3 linked regions of the Drosophila melanogaster genome follow. The protein of the gene in region 3 interacts with the protein of the main gene of each other region in a pairwise test. Each region holds a gene or a part of one and is shown on either strand. Other genes may lie near its edges.

Region 1 (3,860 bases), 5.6 Mb from region 3:
TGAGGAGCAAGTTTTTCCACTGTACCGACTGTCCTACCACTGGATAAATCCCATTGGTGTGGCCACAGTCATTGTGGTAGGTGCACTAGTCTCCCTTGTGACCAAACCCACAAATATGAAAACACTAGATCCGGATCTAATATCACCAGTGATTCACAGGTAATTTTTGTAACCACATGTTTAACCTCTGTTATTAAACCCATTTTTTCTTCTAGATTCCTTCCAAAAGAATGCTTTAGTGGTCGCAATCTCCATGCGCAGGCGCACAAAAACCTCTTAAACGTATCCTAAAATAGACGAACCAGAACTTCCTGTGCCAAACTAATGGAATTGATGGCATTGAATTCCACACCCTGTTTTGTTAGCATAGTTTGTAGTTGTAGTTGCTTTGTGGTAGTTACCTTATAGATAGCCTAGTCTAGTACAATGTGATCCAGATATTGGAAGACATAAACCGAAGTACAGGAACCTATGAATCTGCATCTCAGAATACAGAGTGCACAATCATTAACGTTATATAGTAAATGTATTATAATATAGCTTTATTTAATTGTTCTGTTTGTATCCGTTCTTTACTTTCCAGCCTTTGTTCAAGCATTATTTTTTTGGCATTTTCGATTTGTAGTCAGCAGACTGTGTCTCATTATGTATTCCGTTTGACTTTACAAGCATAATGTCTGTGATAAATTCAATAAATAGATCATACATACTATCCGAATTTTGTACACCTAGAATATAGTTAAGCGGTTGCAAAGCAGCAGGAATGATATGACCTCTGTCTGGATCTGGATCTGGGATCTGAGTCTGGAATCTGGCGTATCTAGTCTAAACTAAGCCCCAATCAGGCGTAAATCACAAAAGAGGATATGCCTTGTATAGGCATGCTTATACATACTAATTAACCTTCCGATGATCTACAGCCGACGACTGTCTTCTGCTTTGGATGCACTTTCGTAGCTGGAACCCGATGACAATTAGGCAAAGAATGCCAGCACTCAGATAGCTATTGAAGACAAACTGCTGTGGCAGCATTTTGCACTTGGAAACCACATAGTCATCGGGGGTTATAGTGGCCTAAAAGTTATGGCATGTTAGTACAAGTTCGAAGGGCTAACAATCGTAAGAGCAAATATAATACTCACCAGCATAAAGCTGGGATTAACTTTGTTTCGCCAGCTGAATGAGGCCACCGTGTACTCATCGATGCCCAGTCGATTTACACTGTGACAGAAGTGATGTGAATGACCGGCGAATGCCAGCCTTGGCTTAAGCAGCTCTCCCAGCATATCCGTGGCATCCTTGGAGAGCACATGAAACCGCTCTCGGAACGCCTCGATGTACGGAGCATCGTGCTCCTCGCACATGGTATCCGAAATGCGGTAGGTGGGAAAGTGCTGCAATAGAATTGGCTGGCTGTACGGGTGCCGCCTGGTGCGAGCGCACTCCGCCTCTAGTGGATACTTCATGCAGTACAAAGTCCTCGAAATGTTTTTCAACTGATCCTCGGCCTGGGTGCAAAACATGCAACCATCACCTTCCATAGCCATCGAATTTATCACCACAAAATGGATTTGTTTAATGGTGTACAAATTGACCGAGGAGTTGTTCAGATAACTCTCAAAACGCGACATAAAGAAGGGATGCATTCTGGAAAACACACAAGAGCGCGGTTTAACAAATATCAGGGAATACACATAGTCTCTTATTGACTTACTTGTAATGGAAGCCCACGTCATGATTTCCCGCGACACTGATGAGCGGAATTCCCGGTGGTAGGTGGAACATCTTCAGGTAGCGCCACACATATTCCTGGAACTGCTTGTCGCTGACCATGTCGCCCTCGTCGAACAAATCGCCCAAGACGAAGACCACGTCGGGCTGGAACAGACGTGATGCCGCCTGAAAGGCCCGCGTCATGTGCCACTCCCGGTAGAGCTTGTCCAGCCAGTGACCACGATGCGGTCCCAGCAGATGCGGATCCGCTAGAATCATTGCCCTAAGCGGATCGTCCACATACTTCTTTCGCTTTATCTCCGGCCACTTGCACTTTTGCAGCACCACAAAGTCCGCCACATATTCGCAGAAGATCAGGGCGCACAGCACGATCACAAAGCAGGCATAAAGAAAGCGCATTTCAGGATTTCTCACCGGCTAAAAAAATAATAACAAATTTATTCTAGAGCTGAAAAACCATCAGCGATAGTATCGTTTTAAACGAGTAAACGGCCCGATATAAATTTAAAATATTCGATAAATTAAACAGTGCTGTCAAGCGGCTGTCGGTTGACTAACAAATTGGCGCCTCATTTCAAAGTTGGTTACTAAAATTGTAAATTGGAAAAATTATGAAGCATTATGGCTTATATATAATTTCCTTTATTTGGAATAGGTATTGTGCATTGCATGCTGCTTACAGGCTAACTAGAAGAGATCGTAAAAATAGTTTAGGCCTTGGCCAAGTTCCCAGATTGAAATGCCAGTGCCCAGTTCCTGGGCGAGCTTTATTCGCTCGTTTATGGAATAGAGAGTGGGATAAAAGACAATGTGGCGACCGTCATCGTTTCTGAAAGTAATGATATTCATCATCTTCGCCTTACACTCTGCATACGCTGCAGTAGAAAACTCACTTGATTTCAAAGAAATTTTCCACATCCCGCTCATCGTAAGTTAGGTGCTTCTTCACATGCCTGACTAGATCCAAGTACTGGGAGAAGGTGATGGGTCCACCTCCATCGGGCGTGTAATCATTCCCGTACATATTCAGTCCCAACAGAATTTTAGCCCTCTTAGCCGTCATATCAGCGCAACCTTCTGGAGCTATTGTCTCCACAGCCTTACGGACGAAATATAATGGTGCATTTGCTCCGGGACGCTGCACGCTGGAGAAGTCGTAAGTCATCAGAGAGAAGGCGTATATGTGCTTGAACAGCTTGTCCATGTGCTTTTCTCCAAAAAGGTGGCCTGTTTCCTTGCGGAATGGAGGAATGACCAAAATGAGTCGCAGCTGTTGCTTTTGTAGTTCTTTGGCTAAGTGACGTAAAAGAAATTTAAATTATTAATAACAAACAAAGGGTTACAACGCATTAAGCTCACCCATTTGCAAAACCAGTGTGTACAGAATTTTGTCATCTATGCGTCCAGCTAGCTGGGACCACACCTCCAGGACGAGTCCATCGAAGCCATTATCCTTGCAGCACTTGATCAGCACGTCGTTGACTTTCGTCCTCTCCTGGGCGTCGCTAAGCAAGAGCTTAATGTCCCGATCAGTGAAGTGATCGAATATAAAACGGGGAAACACTGAAATCCAAGGAAAGTGAGTTTAGACTAACGCCAGCGGGTATCATTTTCTCATACCTTTAACCGTTCGCTGATTGTGCACCTGTTTACCCTTTCTCCGGACATCGGTTAGCCAACCCGCATCGATGTCATGGGTTCCGGCTACGGCATAACGATCTCCCTGCTTAACAATCTGCAGCCAAACCGGCGAGATAATGTCGAACTTCTTGGCAAATATCTTAGCCACATCATAGCCATGCGAGTTCCACTACAAGCAAAGCAAACAATAGATTAATACACATGCACAAAATGTGGGAGTACGTCCTCTGCTTACTGGAGTCACATAGCCCAAGGTGGTGCCATTGAAGCGTCGCAATCCCGTCTCCTTGAAGTACCCGCGATGATTGCTCACGATATCCTTGGCCAGGGGCTCGGGACTAACCAAGCCCAGATCGAAAACATCTTGGTCTTGCGGACCGCCACGCAGAGCACTCTCCTTGGTCTTGCTCTTCGATTTGTGGCTGTCCGGGGCGAGGGTTCCGCGGACGGTGGTCAGCAGTAGAAGCAGGAGAGCGACGCGGAGC
Region 2 (3,677 bases), 7.1 Mb from region 3:
TATTATGTTTTGATTTTGATTCCTGAGCTTGTAATTTTCTATGATAAATTCAAAAACTAATGAAATAAAACGCATTGAATGAATTTTATAAATTTTTTGCAATCCGATCTAACTATGCCCGATATACAATCAAAATATGCATTACCTAATTAAACAATTAACTTACTAGCGTTAAAAGTTAGTTAGTTATATATCTAAAAAATAAATTGATAATGAAATAAAGCGGTATGAACTTATCACATCCTTTTATCAAATGAAGCAAAGTGAAACGATTCAAAAAAACTTTATAATCCATTACAATTTTATAAATGAACAAGAATATTAATTAAACATAAAATAATTAAAATATTTCAGGTTTTCTATCTTTTTTGTAAGATATTTTAAATTCCCTTAGGACTATGAATCCGAAGACTTTTCATATGATAAGCCGTAAATATACACATACACCGGCAACTTGAAGAGCAAGATTTCCTCAAATACACATTTTCAACAGTCCCAATAAAAAATATCCCAAAATCACTTTCTGATTATATAAGAAATATTTAATGTACAACTAATATATGGAAAATGTTCCCGTTTTTCAAAAACTTAATACATATATTCAATACGCATTTTTAAATTAAATAGTGGTTACACGATTTGATTTACATTGTGCAAATAAAGTGATCTGCGTCAATGCTGGAATAAATGTGTCCCTCGGAAATCATAAAGTCCAGAATGTTGCTGTAAAAATAGGAACAATAAAATGTTATAATTAATATTAATTAATAAAGAATATCAAATGATGCAATAGTTTTGGATAAACAACTTACGTCAACTCAGAGTCGCTGATGTGGGAGAATTTGGCTTTCAGTTCCTTGCGGGAGATGCCCTCCTCGGAAACATTGCTCTTGATGGCCTGGAATACGGCCTGCTGCTTGGGCTCCAGCCCACTGACAATGGCCGAGCTCTGGGAGGCGGTGAAATCAGCTATGGAGCCTGAGCCGGAAGAAGCCCCTGCACCAGCTCCAGCTCCACCCTTGCTCTGGTAGTCCTCGGCCCTGTAGCGGGCATTGAGTACTTCCAGCAGGTGGGTGCACACCTCGTTGGGATCCAAAACGGGCAGTAGCTTGAAGATCATTAGGGTTTTGGAACCGCCTTGCGACCGGGTGGTGCCGTAGACCTTCACGTAGTTGTTGACCATTACTTCGGGTGCCTTGAGAGCGTCGCCCTCCTCAAGCCAGTAGTGCGCATCGATCCTGCCGCTATGATCCTCCAGGGTGTAGGTGATCTTCGTCGAGGAAGTCTCCACGTTCCGCACTATGGCCACAACACATGCCATGGCGTACTGCATGCCGAACAACTCGATGTTTCCCTCTGGGGCGTCCACAATCTGCTTCACCACCAGGGGCACTATTCCCTAGTTGCAATCATACGGAATCATGTTAGGTTGTGCAACTTTACTGGCGTCTCACTCACTTACTTCTCCCTTTTGATTGCTGGCGGCTCCAGTTGGCGCAGTTTGTGTGGCATTGAAATCTCCAACTAAAACGAGCTTCGTTATTAGTTCCCTTAATTTCTCTGAGCTACGGGCTATACTTACATGAATCATTCATTTTCTTGGCTTTTGAGGGATTTGTAATTGAGTATTCTATATAATTTCACAAGGGCCGCTGGTAAACAATAAAACGCGCGAACGTAGAGCTGATAGTGTGGCCGTAGGTCGAACACGTAGGAATAACATCTATTTAGTATATAAGAAATACGAAATATTGTAGTGTCAATATTTCAATATTTTTCCTGAAAAACTGAATTATTGTAATAAATTGGGAATATACCTTTTTCAGTTAAAACAAAAAAAGAAAAACCACAAAATTTTTTATTTTTTACAGGACTTACAGCCCCCTTAATAATTCATTTATTTTCTTATGGGTAACACAATATTTTTCTTAGCACTAATAATTTCAGAAACACTTAGAAACCTAAAACCTTTTTCAGCGTTCGCTGAACCTCTTTCCTATCGGTCTTTCTTCCTTTTTTCTTTAGTTTCAGCATGGGCTGAAGGACAAATGTCCTTGTTCAGGCACTCCCCACAATTTGGCTTCACTGGGGTGCAAATGGTTTGTCCGAATCCCACGAACAAATGATTGACCTCTGACCAGAGGCTGAATGGCAGCCACTTCTCCAACGCCACACGGGTTTGCTCGGGCTCCTTGGTGGGCTTCGGCACCCAGCCCAGCCTGTTAGAAAGGCGGTGGACGTGGACGTCCACTCCGATTCCGGTTATCTTGTTCCAGGCCACTGCCATGCATATATGGGCCATCTTGGGGCCAACTCCTGGAAGAGCTACAAGGTCCTTGACATTATCTGGAATGTCCGAACCATACTTGTCCGTCAGTATCTCCACGGTTTGCTTGAGGTATTTAGCTTTGTTCTGGAAGAGATCGAGAGTAAGTGCGATATATTTATTTATTATTAATTCCACCAAACCTTGTAGAAGGATACGGGATGCAGTAAATTCTCGAGTTCAGTCACTGGCATTTCCTTTACTTTCAGTGGAGTTAGACCTCGGTCTTTAAGGCGATTCATGGCTTCATAAGTAGTTTGGTCTTTGGTTTGACTGGACAGCATCAATGCCACTAAGTTTTGGAAGCGCTGGGTCTGCAAGGAAGTTGTTTGCTTGTAACATATTCTTCTATGTACTTAATTCCACTTATTGGAAATACCTTCGAGTCTGCTTTTAAATCGGCGCATCGGTGGCATCCCATGGTGTCCACTGGCGCAGTTCTGGAGTTTCTCATAATGCGAATGTTTTCTAGGTGGTTAAACCACAAAGGATGTGGTGCTTGCACCTCAGAAAAAGAAGGGGAATCCTCCGGAGCTTCCTGTTTTATTTGGGGTTCCACCTCCTCTCTTATCTTATCCACTCTCACTGGGGAGTCCACAGCATCAGGGACCACCTTGCATATGACCACAGTAGCCGAACCCATTTGAACTCTGGTTACCATGCGATCATCCTTTCTAAACTTTTTGGGTGCCACTCGAGCTGGAGACAAGGGCTCCATTTTAATGTTAGTTTTCTTCACGGCTTCCCCATTTAAGAGACGCTGCTTGCGGGTTTGCACGGGGGAGAAGAACACTGAGCTACTCGATCCTGCTGCGCCAGCAGATACACCAACCAGATCCTCTATATCCTGGAAGATTTAGAAACTGCGTCTTGAGTATCAATTTCATTGTTTATCATGCATTTCCGCCTACCCTCACGTTATCCGCCCTATTTGGACGACTTTTTATTTCCGTGGGTTTTATAAGATCTCCGCGTTTTGCCAACTTGTTGGCCAACGTTAATTTCTTTACATTTTTGGCCATAGCTAATACAATTTCTGCGCTTCAGTTTCAGTTTCCATGTTTGTTTACATTTCGAACCTATCGATTTCGATGTAGGAGAAACGGCCACACTTTACAACTAAGTAGCCGGGAACATTTGAAATTTCGAAATATTCAACTCATGCAAGTTAGGATTTTAAGAACCATTTTTCGTATGCTACAGCATAATAAGTTATAAGCTATTACAATACATTTTAAGCCACAAATTTAATTTTAATGCACTTGATTTAAAAAAAAGTACAAACTTTTCGATTTCGTTATCAACAGCTCATAAAATTTAACAAAGATATTTAAAATAAATTTTATACCCG
Region 3 (4,826 bases):
TGCCAAGGTCCTGCCGGTGACGTCCCGCAACCAGGGTGAGGAGGACAACGAGTACGGCGAGAGCAACGATGAGATCCTCATAATTAAGCTGCGCAAGGGGCAGGAGCTGAAGCTGCGCGCCTACGCCAAGAAGGGATTTGGCAAGGAGCACGCCAAGTGGAATCCTACCGCAGGCGTGTGCTTCGAGTATGATCCGGACAACTCCATGCGACACACTCTGTATCCCAAACCTGATGAGTGGCCAAAGAGCGAGCACACCGAACTGGAGGACGACCAGTACGAGGCGCCCTACAACTGGGAAGCCAAGCCAAACAAGTTCTTCTTCAACGTCGAATCCGCCGGTGCCCTTAAGCCTGAGAACATTGTGGTCATGGGTGTGCAGGTGCTGAAGAACAAGCTGTCAAACCTGCAGACGCAACTCAGCCACGAGTCCCAAAACGATGCATTGGCCGTTTGATTTACATATAACAAGTTTATTTTAAGTTTATAAAAGATGTTCCGCCTAATCCTTGAACAAGCTGTCTATGTTAATGCCCACGTTCGCTTCCTTTTTTCCCTTGGGAGCAGGTGGTGCTGGTGACGACGTGATTTGCTGGCTCACCACAGCCTCCTTGAAGTCGCTCAGCAGCTGGGACTTGGATTCCGAATCCTGCTCTGGCAGGCATTCCTCTGGGGTAGTCTCCAGGCGGGCCTGCTGGCGCTGCTCCGCCAAAAGATCCAGTGCGGTCTCGTAGATCCTTTGCTCATCCAGGGCTCCTTGTCCTTTCAGGTCCTGGTATATTTGGACAAATTGCTGTGACTGCGTGCTGCGCCTGTGGTCAAACAGGGATATCGTTTCCTGGGGTTTGTTTTCTTTATGCAGCTTTCTGTTGGTGTACAAGATTAGTTCAGTATTGGTATAAGCCCGACTGCAGGTGAAAAACATACGCTCGGACAACATCCTCGGCATAAAATATCTGGCGCACTGGAATCTCAGGCGCGGGTCTGTCGAATCGGGGCTCCAGTTTCGGCGGAAAGGCGGCGTACACATCGTACCAAATGGGTTTATCCTCGGTTTTCATAGCTCCACCGCGTAGGAGGCCCTGAACTCTGCAAGAGTCGGGTGTTTAAAGCTTGCACAGATATTTCGTAGGAGGGTAAATACCTGGTGAAGATTGTGCCAATCTTTTCAAGCCTACTTTGTGCCATTTTGGTAAAGTTTTAATTAATTAAATGTGTTTTTTAACAAATTACGATTACGACATGCAGTGCATGAACTTATCGGTAAGCAGCCGGTGCCTATCGATACCATCAGAGTTGCCGCTGTGAGCTTAACGGACTTATGGCTTATAAGAGCCTAGAGCGCTCCAATTGGCATTTAGACGGCAAGTGAAATATTTATTTTTTTAAATTGGTTGAATTGTAGTTACAAAGATATTGACTTAAAATCTATTCATATATATGGCACTTAATTGAAATAAATTAACTACATTATGTTACTATCGATACCAGTCCAAACAAATATAGTATTTATGTCTATTACGGTGATTTTTCTGGTTGGCGTTTTTGGTATTTCTCGTGCACTTCATAGTACAGTGCTTACTCCATAAGTGTAATATTCCGAATTAATCCCGTGATTACATGTGTGTCTGGTGTAATGAAATCACTGTACACTATCTAACCATTACTTGTAAATTAATAGTACAAAATCTTGTTAGTTAAAAATTAATCACCCACTTGAGTTGGTGGAAGTTCGCTCTGTAGAGTGACCACTGTACCTGCTCTTCATCCACAGTTTGTTGTGGAACGCCTCGCACCAACTACATACTTTTACATACTCGGCTGCGCTCGACGTAAATTCTCGCACTTTTCTGTTGGTTTCGTAGTAAATTTTCGCCTTTTCGCTGTCAAATAAAGCGCACGCATCGGGAAAAACGGAGAAAAGTGCAAAATAACTAAATATAAAGTGTATCAAATATAACTGTTAGAAAAATGCCATTTGATTGTGTACTGTAATAGCGTAAACAAAAGTGTTTTGATTGTTTGTGCAGGTGCAAAATCGATCTAGTGAACTGAAAACTGCGACTCCAAAATCGGTCGAGTTAGCGCATTTATTGCCCCGATTGTTGTTATTGGAAAATGTTGTTCGTTTGGGAAAACTGTGCCATCGCAATTTTGTAGTGTTCGTGCCTGTGTGTGTGCCGTGTGTGCGTGACGAGTGTATGTGCCAGTAAATTAAGTTAATTAAAAACTTAGCTAACTCTCGATTCCACCGCCCCCGCCATGAGTAACTACCATCCGCATTCGCATCCGCACGCGCTCTCGCATCCGCATCCGCAGCAGGTCCATAATCAGCTGCAGAATCCCCACCAGAACCAGTTGCCGCCCCCGCAACGCCATAACCATGCCGCGCCCACTGCAGCAGCCTCCGCCTCCGGAGCGCCATCATCATCAGCATCGGCATCGGCATCAGCATCTATCCTGGTGGCCCATCCTCCCCAGCCGCTCATCAGCAACTCGCTGGCCATCCGGCAGGAGATCCAGCGATTCGAGAGCGTCCACCCATCCATCTATGCCATATACGAACTGATCGATCTGCTGCCCATGGCCGATGCCCAGATAGCCCAGTCCATTCGGGACCATGTGGTCTGCATTGAAGGTAAGTCCCCCTCTATTAGTGCACCTAGTTTAATGATTATAATTAGTTACACTAGAGTTTAGCCATTGAATGGTAAAGCGGTTTCTGTAATTAGTTTTGCAATCAAAGTTTATGTTTGTCCACCTGTTTATACTGTAAATATTGCAGGCTTAACTTCCTATTAAATGGCAATAAGGAGATCAAGTGGCCTAATTGTCCAATTAGATATTGCTGAAAAGTTTATGATGTTTAGCTTAGGTTTCGAGTTATAGATTCTCATTTCCACCTGTTAATACTAAGTCTATCCAATTTGGGTCGTTACACTCTTTGTAATAAATAAATAAATGTGATTAGTATAGCATATAATGTTTATAAGATGTACGACCAAACCCGACTTAACCTGAAAGTATTTTAATGAATATATTTCAACGCTTAAGTGCTTGAAAGCAGCTGCACAAATGTTTTGCTAGAAAATAGGCTTTTAAACGTAAAATGTGTAAGTGCTAGATTCCAAATATAACAGTACTCTTATTATATATTTCGTTTGTTTTTTAATGGCTTGCAAATTTATGCACCATAACAAGGAAATGCTCTGCTTGTGAATTCGAAACTTTTGCTCAAGGGTCACTGGTTTTAATGGAGCATTCGGAGGTGTGCCCCAGAAATGATGAGCAACTAAATGTGCTATAAATTATGCAAAGACACAGTAAAGAAAAGGGTTTCAAAGTCGGAAAGTGGAGTCTATCGTGACTTTCGATGGACTGACTGGTCGTCCCATTGAGTGTGTCAAGTCGGCGGGAAGAGATGCGAATCCTTTGATTAAACATGTTTATCGCTGCAATTGTATCCACACCTTCATTGTGCCCCTTATCGCGAGCGTCTGGACTTGTGGTTGCCTTTGTTTGGAGTGCTTTATGCTAATCTTAGACCGAAAATCTATGAGGCAACATCAACCCCCGGTTGATGGCGAGGATTATTGTTGCCAAAATGCCCATTCAAGCGGATCGCAGCGGGCCCATTGAAAGTGTTGTCGCTCTGTTCATGGAAAAGAAAGAGCTTCGTTTTTTGTTTAAAACAAGCTTTTCTGCCCAATTTTCAGCATGTGTGTGTGTGTGTGTGTGTGTTTGTATGCGGGGACTGAAATTTGATGCCCTCTTCCTCTTTGTGGCAGGCAGCAAAACTGAATACTGAAAACTGAAAACCGTTCACGAAATCAAACCGAAAACCGGTTCCTGAAATGGTTTATTAGAAAATCTCTGGCAGAGGCAGCAACAACGAAAGGCTCACCAAAAATGTAAACAAAATTGTCAGAGGCAGCGGCAGCGGCAGCAACCTCATGAATACTCGAATACTCCACTCTGTGTCGTGCAAACCAGATATGTACGAAACCCGAGAATACGAGAGCGTACGATCTCGTAAACCGTTTCGCACGCGACTTTCTTATTGGCATTGACCCGCAACACGGGCACATTGGTCCAATATGTACAAATATATACATATATAACTATATCGAATACCGATTCTAATTCGCTGTCAGCGTGATGAACGATGCTTTCGTTGGACTCTGGTTGCCGTTTTCCCGTTCCAAATGCTTATTTATAGGTTTCGGTAACGGTCTCCAATAAATCGAGAAGGTCAAAAGTATCTAACGAAAATAAATAAAAGAAATTCTGTGCTATCTGTTCGTTAACCTTTTCATTTGAAATCGATTTAGAAGCTATATAGCATAAATAATCATACAGCAGCTTACTATACATAGCTTACTACTTAACAAATAAAAACGTTTATGGACAATAATCTAAAGAATCGATATAATCTCAGAACTTAATGCCCGTTTTTTTTTTTTTTTTGGTTAAGAGCTCTTGCGTTTAAAGTGCCCCCTTAATATTGTAAGCTGCTGACTCACCGAAATCAGTTCGAGTCTTAAACCACATTTAACTGCTAAGATGTCATTGAACTTTTAGCGAATCAAAGTTTAGTTACATATTTAAAAGGCACTCAAGAAAAATAATGTGTTGCTGATTATTTACGAATGAGATTTTTATTTATGTATCTTATAGAATTTGATGCTTCCTCAGCGAGATTTGTAATCCAATTAGGCCAAGGCCTTGATATTTTAGACAAAATTCAGCAACAATGGCTGCTTAAATATTTCTGTAAACTGCGTACTATTGTGTGTGTGTGGCTACATGTGCCGTCTAAAATTAGC

What was found. The genes of interacting proteins can lie anywhere in the genome.
Region 1: the proteins of CenG1A (region 3) and PGAP5 interact in a two-hybrid assay, tested with the Drosophila melanogaster proteins (one large-scale study listed by BioGRID).
Region 2: the proteins of CenG1A (region 3) and RPA2 interact in a two-hybrid assay, tested with the Drosophila melanogaster proteins (one large-scale study listed by BioGRID).

What each region holds. Positions count from the first base shown.
Region 1 is NT_033779.5:8,197,316-8,201,175, reverse strand, and holds PGAP5 (Post-GPI attachment to proteins 5), read right to left. Parts: upstream 2,224-3,860; 5' UTR 2,134-2,223; coding exon 1,715-2,133; intron 1,648-1,714; coding exon 1,143-1,647; intron 1,075-1,142; coding exon 896-1,074; coding exon of another isoform or gene 895-895; exon of another isoform or gene 831-894; coding exon 821-830; 3' UTR 524-820; downstream 1-523. Other genes in the region: SLC5A11 (Sodium/solute co-transporter-like 5A11), read left to right, coding at 1-159, 216-291; CG8460 (uncharacterized protein), read right to left, coding at 2,422-2,563, 2,628-3,027, 3,094-3,297, 3,355-3,544, 3,611-3,860. UniProt on the Drosophila melanogaster protein: Metallophosphoesterase.
Region 2 is NT_033779.5:20,924,452-20,928,128, forward strand, and holds RPA2 (replication protein A2), read right to left. Parts: upstream 1,697-3,677; 5' UTR 1,596-1,696; coding exon 1,583-1,595; intron 1,525-1,582; coding exon 1,463-1,524; intron 1,400-1,462; coding exon 813-1,399; intron 724-812; coding exon 645-723; 3' UTR 524-644; downstream 1-523. Other genes in the region: Nthl1 (Nth-like DNA glycosylase 1), read right to left, coding at 1,997-2,413, 2,470-2,640, 2,706-3,173, 3,238-3,348.
Region 3 is NT_033779.5:13,833,795-13,838,620, forward strand, and holds the start of CenG1A (centaurin gamma 1A), read left to right. Parts: upstream 1-1,769; 5' UTR 1,770-2,262; coding exon 2,263-2,638; intron 2,639-4,826. Other genes in the region: Polr2C (RNA polymerase II subunit C), read left to right, coding at 1-457; mRpS23 (mitochondrial ribosomal protein S23), read right to left, coding at 503-866, 928-1,089, 1,145-1,188.